Linked DNA regions of Oryctolagus cuniculus. The protein of the gene in region 2 binds, or shares a complex with, the protein of the main gene of each other region. Links are inferred from orthologs where the notes say so. Each region holds a gene or a part of one and is shown on either strand. Other genes may lie near its edges.

What was found. Proteins that work in one complex are often made in the same cells at the same time.
Region 1: the proteins of LRP6 (region 2) and SOST are in contact, whole or in part, in a crystal structure (PDB 6L6R), measured with the Homo sapiens proteins. The link is inferred for Oryctolagus cuniculus from reciprocal best matches to the Homo sapiens genes LRP6 and SOST. Residues at the interface, in NP_001401174.1 of Homo sapiens: Arg28, Asp52, Val70, Ser71, Glu73, Leu95, Ser96, Asp98, Glu115, Arg141, Trp157, Trp183, Asn185, Ala201, His226, Phe228, Trp242, Met269, Arg336, His361, Asp379, His404, Asp406, Thr422, Glu447, Arg449, Trp465, Trp491, Asn493, His534; in NP_079513.1 of Homo sapiens: Leu115, Pro116, Asn117, Ala118, Ile119, Gly120, Arg121, Arg169, Thr171, Arg172, His174, Asn175, Gln176, Ser177.
Region 3: the proteins of LRP6 (region 2) and DKK1 are in contact, whole or in part, in a crystal structure (PDB 3S8V), measured with the Homo sapiens proteins. The link is inferred for Oryctolagus cuniculus from reciprocal best matches to the Homo sapiens genes LRP6 and DKK1. Residues at the interface, in NP_001401174.1 of Homo sapiens: Arg639, Glu663, Ser665, Ile681, Tyr706, Glu708, Thr724, Arg751, Trp767, Gly768, Gly769, Pro771, Val790, Gly791, Arg792, Asp811, Thr812, Asn813, Leu814, Pro833, His834, Phe836, Trp850, Ser851, Tyr875, Met877, Arg1184; in NP_036374.1 of Homo sapiens: Glu185, His204, Phe205, Trp206, Ile209, Gln218, Val219, Thr221, Arg224, Arg225, Ser228, Gly230, Leu231, Glu232, Ile233, Phe234, Arg236, Ser258, Leu260.

Annotation. Positions count from the first base shown.
Region 1 is NC_091448.1:19,384,025-19,388,328, forward strand, and holds the start of SOST (sclerostin), read left to right. Parts: upstream 1-1,503; 5' UTR 1,504-1,506; coding exon 1,507-1,858; intron 1,859-4,224; coding exon 4,225-4,304. UniProt on the Homo sapiens protein: Negative regulator of bone growth that acts through inhibition of Wnt signaling and bone formation.
Region 2 is NC_091440.1:109,750,609-109,754,053, forward strand, and holds part of LRP6 (low-density lipoprotein receptor-related protein 6), read right to left. Parts: intron 2,349-3,445; coding exon 2,054-2,348; 3' UTR 1-2,053. UniProt on the Homo sapiens protein: Component of the Wnt-Fzd-LRP5-LRP6 complex that triggers beta-catenin signaling through inducing aggregation of receptor-ligand complexes into ribosome-sized signalosomes.
Region 3 is NC_091446.1:45,399,178-45,403,167, reverse strand, and holds DKK1 (dickkopf-related protein 1 precursor), read right to left. Parts: upstream 2,802-3,990; 5' UTR 2,661-2,801; coding exon 2,415-2,660; intron 2,194-2,414; coding exon 2,031-2,193; intron 1,070-2,030; coding exon 926-1,069; intron 812-925; coding exon 558-811; 3' UTR 178-557; downstream 1-177. UniProt on the Homo sapiens protein: Antagonizes canonical Wnt signaling by inhibiting LRP5/6 interaction with Wnt and by forming a ternary complex with the transmembrane protein KREMEN that promotes internalization of LRP5/6.

The DNA.
Region 1 (4,304 bases), on a different chromosome or scaffold from region 2:
CAGGTGGGGCTCTAAGCATCTGTCCTGCCAACTCCAAGAACCCTGGCAGGGCAGTGGCTCTCTACAAAGTTCAGGGTGAGAGGGCCGTGGTCCGGCCACAGCAGGGTTAACAGTCCACATTCCAGAGCCAGGGGAAGGAGGCTGGAGGGTCACAGACAAGGGGAGGGGGCGCCGCTTCTCACAACCCTGCTGGCTCTGCTGGGAGAGATAGATCACCCCCAACAATGGCCACAGCTGTTTTCGTCTGCCCGAAGGAAACCGACTTAGGAAGCAGGTATCAGAGAGGGCCCTTCCTGCGGGGGCTTCTGTCTGGCTTGTAAAACTGTCAGGGCAGCTGCATCCATGTGTCAAGTGATGGATGACGGAAAGGCGGGGGACAGTCGGCCGCAGATGGACATAGCAACGTACAAGTTGAGGCAGGTGGCAGCGGCCTCCAAGAGGCTGTGCAGGTGGAGCGGGCTGATTCATTGCCCAGTGAAAATACCAAGGGGATCCGGGCCACAGCCCTCTTCCCAGCCTCCCTCCCTCCGGGCAGGAGCCCAGCGCCTCCTGCCTCCCACACCGCACTGTCCCCAGGGAAAGCTTGCCCTGGCCCTTTCTTTTCTGGCACCTCGGGTGTGAACCTTCCTCCCCGGCCCCTCCCCCTCCCCAGAGGCCTGATCTCCTGGGGTGGGGGGAGCTGAGAGTGCGACCCCCTGGGTTTCTCTTGGCTGCTTGGACTGGGCTGCAATGGCTTTGGGGAATGCATCCCAGGGTAGGCACCACTGGGGTCTCCCAGAGAGGACTCCAAGTTGCTTCTGCAAAGGTAGCAGGCTGGCAGACGGGGAAAAAAGGTCAGTACTGAACACATGCGCCTCGGCTTTGGCTAAGAAGGCCACAGTGTGGCCAGGGAAGGGACCACCCTCAGCGCACCAGCCCGGGAGCTGCAGCCAGTGCTCTGCGGGACCTGCACAACTCCACATGTCGCCAGCATCCTGCCCTTGCGCCCCAGCGGTCACCGAGCTGGGGCCCTGCGGCTCTCTTCTCTCTTGACTTCCAGGGAGGTTTTCTTGGTCAAGATGATCCATGCTGAGCCTCATGGCTTTGGGACCAAAATGGGGTTTCTTGAAAAGCCTGCTCCTGCCCCTGGCTGAGCCTGTGGGGCTGTCCGATGGGGAGGTGAGGGTGGCCTCTGCCCGGGCAGCTGCACCAGCGAGCTCAGGCCCGTGGAGAACTCTGAGCTACTCGTTTCCTTGGTTAGGCTTAGGCGGCTCCGCGGGTACCATGCAAATGCCTGAGGGAGGTAGACACCCAGCAGCCGGAGCTGTGAGCTCCTGCTGATATGGGAAAGCCACAGCCGCCTGCCTGCCGGGGGAGGTGCCTGGGGAGCAGGCGTGGGCCCTGCCTCACACGCCCCTCCCTCCGATCACCTGGGAGTGCCAGCAGCAAGTTGGAAGTTTGCTGAGCTCCAGGAGAAATCTTTGGGGAGGGCTTGCTCTGAGCACACCCCTTCCCTCCCCCAGAGACATGGAGCCAGCCCTGCCCCAGCCTGTCCTCATTGGCTGGCACGAGGCAGAGGGGGCTTTAAAAAGGGGACCGAGTCTGGGCTGGGGAGCCAAGCCTGTGCTCCTAGAAGGCAGGTGCCCTCCCGTGGCTGGCACCATGCAGCTCTCCCTAGCCCTGTGTCTCCTCTGCCTGCTGGTGCATGCAGCCGTCCACATGGTAGAGGGCCAAGGGTGGCAGGCCTTCAAGAATGACGCCACGGAAGTTATCCCTGAGCTCGGGCGGTACCCCGCGCCTCCCCCGGAGCTGGAGAACAAGACCATGAACCGGGCGGAGAATGGAGGGAGGCCTCCCCACCACCCCTTCGAGACCAAAGGTATGGGGGAGGGGAGAGCCGTTAGCCCAAGGGTCCTGGGGAGGAAGGGGGGATGTTTTAGAATCTTCTCTTCGGTAGGCTGTGAAGGCTGGGGCTCACCGATGCAGGGACAGGCACTCCTGGAGGTAGGGAGGGGTGGTGAGCCAGTGCAACCTTAGCCTTCAAGTTCAGGGGCACTGGACCAGGAGGGGCTGAGGCGGTGAGGGTGCAGCAAGGCAGCAGGCTCCAAGGCACAGGATAGAAAAGGGTTCAAAGAAACCTCTCCTGAAAGCACAGGAGCCAGGACTGGGGACAAGGCAGGAGCCAGGACTGGGGACAAGGCAAGGGCCCCGCACATCTGGAGTGGCACGTGCTGAGCACCGAATGCTCTAGGCAGGCTGTCGCTGCACTGTGACCGCAGACCCAGCACGTGCAGGGCAACCCCCAGATCCAAGTGAAAGCTACGGAGGCTCCTGAGATGGAGCTCCTTGGTTATAAGCAGCGGAGCTGAGATCTGAGCTCAGGGCCATTCAACTGCAAGGCCGCCAGGCGTGTGCAGGAGGGGAGGGGTGTTAGAACCCGAGACCCTCGCACGGCAGTGGGAGAAGGAAGCCAGAGAGGCCCCTTCAGCTCCTACTGCCCACCGTCTACCCGGCCAGCTGGCCTTGAACGAAGTGGGGGTGTAGGCACAGCTTCAGCCTCTGGCATGGGTGGCAGCTGAGTCCAGGCCCTGGCGGGGGCGGAGACAGGGAAGGCAGCAGCCTCTGTGCACGGAGTGGACACAGGTGGCACTGCCAGTGCGGAGCCCCCACCCCAGACCCAGCCTCTCTTATCCCTGGGTGGCAGTGGGGCCGCTGCAGGGCTCCTGTGTGCCACCCCTGCCAGCCTCCCACCCAGCTGCTGGAAGTGGGCCCCGGGGAAGGGCAGGCCCCTGGGGGCCAGCAGCGACCCTGGGTTTCACAACAGAGGGTGGGCGGCAGGAGCACTCCTCCCCAGCCCCTGAGCTCAAGGGGCTCCCACTTACAAGGCTGCAGGGGACCCGAATATAACATGTCCACTTCCCCAGGCTCTCGTGAGAGGCCACAGCCCACCATCCGGCTCTGCAGAGGAAGTGCTGGGGGGGGCACTATTCTTGGAAAAGCCTCCTTCCCTGGGCAACAGGCCGCCCCACCCAGCACTGCTGCAGGTGGAGGATGCCAGCCCCGAAACCAGGCAGCCAGCCACGGCCCTGCTGCGCTGGTTCTCATGCCTCTGTGTCACCGGGGAACTGTCCAGTGAAAGCTGTTGGGGTGGACCAGCTGTTTAGAAAGCCCCCACCTGCCTAAGCCCACTGAAAGAGGCACAGTCAGTGTGTGCAGGGGGCCGAGCCACATCCAGCGAGCAGGCTTGTGTCGCCATCAGGTGCCCACTTGAGTGCCACAGAGCAGCAGACGTGCTTAGCCAGGAGCCTGGTACATAGTAGGTGCTTAATAAATGCTGGTGGCAGCTGACGCTATGGAATCAGAGCCCAGTGCCCCTCTGGCAGGAAGTAACTGTGGTAAAAAGCAGTCCTGTGCCCCCGGGGGCCCAGCCCCGCCTCCCGCGGGCCCCCCCAGCAGACCCCTTTCACCCAAGCTGCAGGCAGAAGGTGTGGGCGGTGGGAGGTGGTGCTGGGCGAGCCGAACTGCCTTTTGGGCAGGTCCTTTCCCCTCTCCTGGCTTCAGCGTCCCGTCTGATAATGAGGGGGTTGGACGCGCACCTTCGGCTCCTTTCAAGTCTAATGAATTCCTCCCCTGCCGCCTCCCGCCCATGCTGCTCCTCTCCTGCAGCCGCTCTGATTTACGGCCTGCAATCGACCTCTCTCCCCCTTTCTCCTTCTCCTGCCCGCCCCTGCCAAGTGGCTGGGAAAGGAATTCGGGAAAAGCCAGACCCATGCAGGTGTGGCTGGTACCGCCCCGGTGCAGGCCAGGGCCCCTCGTGCACAGGTGTGGTTAAACTCAGCAGATGCCCCCCACCCCCGAAGAATAAAAACAAGGCCCCACAGCCCGCAGCTCCCACCCCTCCTGTGAACCCAGCTGTGCAATTGTGCACGAAGGACTGGCTCGCTGGAGACTCCAGACAACCCATTTTGCAGACTGGGAGAAGTGAGAGGTTAAGTAATTTGTCCGAGGTCACACAGGTGTTAAGGGATGGGGCCCTTGCACTTTAACCCTAGCTGCCACTCGGCCACAAGGGCAGAGGGTGGCCCTGGGTTGATCCCCTAACCTGCAGGAGTAGGGGGGCCTTCCTGTAACAGGTGCACAGGGGCAGGAGGCCCAGGTGTGTTAGAGATGGGATGGGGCTCGGGGCACGGGGCGTGGGGCGCCAGCCGGCCCAGGCCCCACCCTCACGCGCGCCTCTCTCCGCAGACGTGTCGGAGTACAGCTGCCGTGAGCTGCACTTCACCCGCCACGTGACGGACGGGCCGTGCCGCAGCGCCAAGCCGGTC
Region 2 (3,445 bases):
CCCAGTTATTGCTAACCTTTCCATCTTCATTTAAACATCAAGTGTTCCCATGTGTCACAGAATGCAAGTTTAGTGTCCAATCTTAGACTGGGAGCACTTTGTTCCATTAACAGTAAGAGTTAATGCTGATGGATGACCATTTAGTCATATGCAAAATCAGTGCACCTGATCATTCTCATAAGCTGTCCACAACAATCTGAGCATTATTCTGAAACCATATTTTTTTCTTTAAGAAGTTTATTTAGATATTTTTTGAGTGGCTTGAAACATTACTTCATCCCTGCCAAAAATTCTGAATCCTTTCTTTTGTTATTTTCTCTTGCAAGTCAGAGAGGCCCTGACAAGACAGTATTAAAAACAAAAACCAAAGTCATTTCATAACTAACTGACCAGCACCTGTTTAGGTCAAAGTACATCAGTTTGAAAACACATTCAGTTTTAGCAGAGAAGTGCCAGACATGTGTTAAAAGCAAGAGACTAACTTCTGGCAAGGAGGCAGAGCAGGCTAGAATTGCTGCATGGGTCATCCCTGGAAGCTTAAGATGTGGCAGCCCCAGTACTGTACATGACAGCAGGTCAGGCAGACGGAGTGAGACTTCCATATTCCCCTGCTCCCAAGTTCTGACAGCTGAGACGTTAATAGTTGGCCTTCTTATTTACTCCCCAGATGATTGTTAAATTACTTAGTTCATAATGGAATAAGACGGAACACACATAAAAACATAATGATTATAAGAATAATTTGTGGATAATTTGAAAACAACCTTACATTCACAGTGGATAACAGGAAGATATTAAACTCATGTCACACATCAGAAGAGGTACATATGTAGACATCATTCTGAGAAAAAATTGGCCTAAAGAGCACGAAAATGGCACAAACAGTTAATATAGGGAAAACCCTAATGACAAAAAATTTTATTTTTAAATAGATTGTCTCTAACCAGAACATATTTAAATGTTTTACTCAAAAAAACATATAAAAGTGATTTCATATTGTGATATTATATGATGAAAGTACTGCAAGGATATATGATTAATTTACAACAAAAACATAATGGTTAAATTTGCAATTCTTAAACACTGTCTATATGTTGTAAGGAGACATTTTAATGAATGTTAAAATGACCTTGAAGTAAAGAAAAGAAATAATATGTCTAATCTTTGATCATTATGCAAAAACATCAGTCAATGAAGAGCTAAACCTAGTGGGGAATGGAGCTAGTAGAAATATTAAAATCAAACTTTGATTTAGACAATTCCATTTCTTTAATTGCTGGAATACATCATGGTATTTTGGCAAAAATGGCCTACAAAGTTGCTGGGGGAGGCAGCCGAGTGAAAGCACGACTTTGTGGGGGAGGAGCAGGCTCCATGGCAGGGACAGAAGACCTGCACACACGTGGCCCTGCAGCATCTGCCCAGACAGCTGGTCTCACCTCACAACAGCAACACCAGAAGGGATTTTGCAAATATCTATTTCCTCACAAAAATTCAGTTGGATTCCGAGAGAAAACAAAGCCCTTTGTCCAAGGTTAGTATCCCCCCGCCCCCCTTCATGATGTCTTCACTTGTTGGCCCTCGAATGTTAGTTAACATGAAGGCTATTTGGCTTCTTCCAAGTATCTATGGTTTGCTGCTCTGAGATGGACTTAATTGTCGTCGTCATCTTTTTTTTTCATTTTTGGTATCAATAAAGCCCAGACATTCCTGGTCAGAGATGCCTTTATTATTCCTGTTTCCTTTGTACTCAGTCACTTCACTGGGTTTAAGGCATGCTTTGTGTATTTAGTTTGCAAAAATAAAATTTTTAGTACAAATTTATTTTTTATACAAACTTTTATGGCACAAGCAGCAAATCTGCTGTTTTAAGAAAATATATAAATATCCTTTTCTTCTGTACAAATATCTCCAGTATCCCCTAGCCCATTTTATAATTTTAACTGTACAAGGTCTGCCTCAGCCTTCTCTAACAGCCCCCTCCCCCCCAGATCTCAACCACACTGTATTTACATGTTTGCGGTGGAGGCAGTCAGAGGAGGAGGGCCCCTCCTCAGGAGGAGTCCGTGCAGGGCGAGGGCGGCGGCGGGTAGAGGTGATGCGAGTAGCTCCTCTCTGTGTACGGGGAAGGAGGGCAGCTTTCATAGTTCTCCTCTGCCGACAAGTATTGGCTTCGAGGTGTGGGAGGTGGGGGCACAGGTTCTGAGTCATAGTTTAAGTCACTGGTATAGCCCTTGGCTGTTGCCACTGAGGTCATTCTCCGGCTAGGAGCATAGTCACTGTCACAGACATCTGTGCTGCAGGGTGTGGTGGGAGGTGCAAAGTGCCGGTAACTATATGGCCTGTAGCTGGGACGGGAAGGAAATAAAGAGAAGCAGAGTTAGTTTCACAGCAAAATGATTTTCCTCATCAGAATTCAGAGACATCAGAGGTAAACTTCACTTCGAAAACAACACGCTACTGCAATTTAAATTTGCGCAGATCCAGAGGCAATTTCCAATGGGAGACTGGACGAAGGAGACAGCACACATCTTCATATTTGGCAAATAAATGTCATTAGCGGCAAGTGCAATGGACAAGATGGAGAAGCAGAGGTGAACTCGATCCAGTCTCTGGATGTGCTCCTGTCTCTTCAAGTTAAACTGTACCACAGAATGGAAGCTATACAACGGTCACCTCTGGAAAACCTTTGTATACCTTTTGCATTTACTTAATGGAGTAGACCTTACCAATTTCTGCAGTTTTATGGCCCATGAGAAGGATAGGTCTTCGTGTGTTTTATACTACCCAAACATGTTAACATTCTCTCAACGTTCTGATGCATGAAGACTTTGTTTCTTTAAAACCCAAACACCATACAACCCAGGCTGAGTTTTTACGGACAGCTATGAGCCACACCTACCCCATTACACTGTTGCTGCTAGCAAGAGGACACCGCTGTGGTCTGAGGGGAACAGTTTTGATTCCTTGCACATAGATAAATATACAGTCAAAAGGGCAGCTTTAACTGAACATCAAAATGAGTAATTTTATGTACCCATTTAAGGTCAGTGAATTTTCCAATATATTTCAGAAAAGCCTAACTTACTTCTTATACTTATCTTTTCAACTAATCTACAGTTGTTAAGTTCATAGCATAGCTAACTCAAGAAAAATGAATTGGAAAGAGAGCAGCATACCAGTGAAAGTAAGACTTGATCTTAGTGCTGCCTCTGCTCTCATTCTTACTTCTATTTGCAACTTCTCCTATCTCTTTTTTCTAAATATGGAAAATCTTATTTCATATTTATCCCCAAGATTTATTCATAAGCTTTCTCATCAAAATGGCTGCAAGAGAAGGGGCAAGAACAAGTATACAGCTGATAAAAACAATGCACGAAGTGTCTGGTGAGACAAAGCACCACAGATAATATCCCTGGACACAAACCATCTGACATCACCTGGG
Region 3 (3,990 bases), on a different chromosome or scaffold from region 2:
AATTTTATTTCAAAGACTATCACAGCCTAGTAGGAAATAAAAATCTAATCATTGAGATGGTACATTTTGAAAAATAAGCTCATATTTTCATGGTAAATTTTAGGTGCCTATCATTTCTACCAAGAGTTCTTTGCCTTTTCAGACTCTAGAATTAAAAGGGAAAGGGGCTATACACTTAAGAACTGGAACCATAAACTGAAATTATTTATTTCAATTCAATATAGAATATTTATCAGAGTCAAGGTAACAATGTATACAAACATTTACATAACAAGAGAAACAATAGACAATGTAGCACTTTTAGAAAAATAATTAAGAAGTTTCATTTCATTTACAGCTAAGTGCCACACTGAGAATTTACAACACAGTAATTTACTGCAATCACAGGGGAGTTCCATCAAGAAACAAAGCTCTTACACTCCAGATTTTCGGAAGGTATTATTGGAATGCTTAATGGTAATCATTGAATTTGTACATCCTTAGGACTGAGCTGAGAAAAGTCATAAGAGGTTTCCCTAGTATATATTATAGGAGTCCACCGCATGTCCACGACTGGTCTAGTGTCTCTGACAGGTGTGAAGCCGGGAAGAGTTACTGGCTTCATGTTGATCGTTCTGCAGCCGACAAGACAGCCCGTCTCCACAGTAACAGCGCTGGAAAATCTCCAGCCCATGCGAGCCCTTCCTCCTGTGCTTGGTGCACACTTGACCTTCCTTGAGGACGGGCTTACAGATCTTGGACCAGAAGTGCCTGGCGCAACACAGCCCCGTGGCGCAGTCTGATGAGCGAAGGCAGACGGAACCTTCCTGCCCTGCGAAGGAGGAGACAGCAGGAAAACCCGTCACTGCCAAGCCATCATCATTCCAGGGAGACAACTACAAAAACAGCTTAGGCATGCCCACGAATCAGGGCACCTTCCGCCTACCTTTGGCGTGATACATTTTCGAAGACAGGGTGGTTCTGCGGGAATACCCATCCGAGGTGCTGTGGTCGTTCCCGAAGCTTTCGACGATGGTTTCCTCGATTTCCCCTCGATGAAAATGATTGTGATCAGAAGGCATGCATATTCCTAAGGAAGCAGGTAACAGTGATTAACTCCCAGGCGGTAATGCTTTTTTTGCCAACAGCTGTGACAGAAGCACTCTGCGGTGACTGATGCACGTGAGGTACCTCTCAGGTGCAGGGGCATTATTTTAAGCACAAGGCAACTTTCCTCCCTAGTGTCCCTGCGGAACTCCCCAGCGGACAGCAGCATCCACGTGTGCACGGCTGCCTCCCGGGCATCAGTCCCGGTAGAGCCATTGAAAATACTCTCCCACAAACTGTGGGAGGGGCAGTGAGGTTTCTGCCCATTTTACTGTCCCCCTTGGAGTAAGGAAAAAGAAATCGTCATTGTTCTTCAACACAACTTCTCTGCTGCGACTTGGGGCTCTATGAGTCCTGCCAGACTGCGTCAAGCAAATGCAATTCCAGCTGCCCGGAGGATGCTGGTCTCACCAGTTCCCCGACGATGTCATTTCTCTATCACAGAGACTTAAGTTCGTCCCGGGGTCCAGCTGGGTCCCGAGAAGGGTCGCCACCCCGGAGGCTTTAACTTTTAGTGGCTCGGTGTGGGGAGGGAGGGAAGGGAAGTGCTTATTTTAAGGTCGCGAGGGTGGAAGGAAGAGTGAGGGGCCGAGAACCCCACGGGTGAGGGTATCAAGATCTCCCTGAAAAACGGCCAGCGCAGGTAAGTCACCAGACATCAGTTTCAAAAGGAGGAGCCCTGAGAGTCACCGTGAGAAAAAGGGACCAGGGCAGTGAAAGTCAGGGCTGGTCCCCCGGGTATTTCTCAGGGACCCCCTCCTCGCCCTCTCCTCTCCAGTCTCAACTGGCCCCCCAGGGGCACAGAGGAAAAAGCCAGGAGAACTGCAGAGTTCTGTCTACTGCTCCCAGGGAAGAGATCTGCAGCCAACTCCGCCTCCCGCTCGCAGGTGGCGGGCGCCCCAGCGCTCGCAGAGCCAGAGCCGGGAGCCAGCCGCCGGACTCACCGTTTTTGCAGTAATTCCCGGGGCAGCACATCGCGTGACGCATGCAGCGTTTTCGACGCTTCCTGCAAGCCAGACAGATTTGCACGCCGGCGCCCCCTCCGCGGGCGGGACTCGCGCAGTACTCATCCGTGCCACACTCCTCGTCCTCTGTGCACGGGTACGGCTGCGGGGAGCCGGCGGGGAGACGGTGAGGAGCCAGGCACCCGAACGCTCGTCAGGGTCACCTGGCTGAACCCCTCTCCAAAAGCCCTTGCAGCTCTGGGCTGCCGGTTCTCACCCTCAACCAGACACGCCCAGCACCCTCAACCTCCACCCTCGCCGGCAAATGGGTCCCCCCGCCCTGGAAGGCCGCAGCGTGGCAGCATCCCCCGAGACCCCGCTCACCTGATAGTTGTCAAGGGGCAAGTACTTGTTCCCGCCCTCGTACAGAATCCCGGGCGTGGCGCTGACTGCAGAGCCCGGGTGCCCGTTAGCGCCGCCCAGCGGCGGGGGCAGGTTCTTGATGGCGTTGGAATTGACCAGCACCGAGTTCAAGGTGGCGCTCACTCCCAGCAGAGGGTGGCTGCTAAGAGCCGCCGCTACCAGGGCGACCAGGACCCGCGGGGCGGCCACTGCGCCCAGAACCGTCATTTCAGAAGGACTCGGTGGGAGAAAGAAGGAAAAAGAGGAGGCACGTCCCTTCGCAGGCCCGGTCCCGAAGGAAGCCGTGCTGGCGCGGCTGCGGGGTCAGGGTCTCCGCGTCCCGACTGCCAGCCGCAGGCAGCACTGAACCGCCGCCGCCACCGCGGCTGCCTTTATACAGCGGGCTCGGAGCGTTCCGGCCCCTCCGGGGGTGGGGGGAGAGGATGACAAAGCCGGGATGGGATTTCAAAGAGTTGGGAGGGGCTGGCAGGGGGTGTGTTTGTGTACAAGAAGCGGGGCCTTTGACTCTCGTCACCCCGCCCCAACCTCGCGAGGTGTTCCCTCCGCCCAGCTAGCTTCGGGCTGACGCGTCTCGGACAGCTTGGGGCAGTGGACCGGAGGACTCGCTGGAGGCGGGAGGGACCCTGAGACCCTGGGTGCACTGGCCTGGCAGCAGGGCGCGGGCGAGACGGACCTGCAACAGGCTGCAGAGCCTCACGGTCAGCACTCGCTGCAGATCCGCTCTTCGCTCCTGGCCGGTCTTCCACCACCGGCCCTGGTTTGTCGTACAAGCAAAATCACATTCAGTGTTAGATGCAGCCTGAAAAGATTAACGCAAAGGCTCCAGCCGACCGTCCCTGCCGGAGGTGTACCAGGTGGCCGTTTGCAAGTTGCTCATGAGCCCTCCTGGAGTCGCGGTTTTGCAGGCGTGGGTGAGGTCCTAGGCTTGAGGTTCATCCAGTTGTAACCCCTATACACACACACACACACACACACACACACACACACCGCCTCCCGGCCCGGCCACAGCGGCAAAAAAAAAAAAAAAAAAAAAAAGAAGTGCAAAGAGAAGGGAATTTGCACATCAAACGCGGGTCAACAAGGAAGAAGAACTAATTCTCTTTTGATGGGAAGTTTAGAGAGGGAGGCGAGAGACTGGAGTTTGGAAATTAGATCAGGGGTGGTAGAGGGAAGAGGGAAATGGCCATCTGATAATCTAACTATTTAATCTTGGAATCTGAGATGACCTTGATGAGGCAGACGTGCGAGATCAAAGTGGCCCCGAGCCAGAGCGGACAGGGTCCCACGTGCTGGGTCAGCCTTCTTTCCCTGGGTCCGCTTCTCAGCGGTGGGTTAATGCAGGGGATAAGATCCCCCAAGGCTGAGCGCCTGACTTCCTCATTAGTGGTTCCCATCGCCCAGGCTTCGGAACGCCGGTGTTTGATCGCAAGTCTGTGCCTCCCCGCGACGGTGGGAGATAAGAGACTACCTTGGGGCCAGGGAGGATGGCAAGTGAGCCAGAAAGTAAATCAGACTCGTGTAAGATTTTGTAAAAATG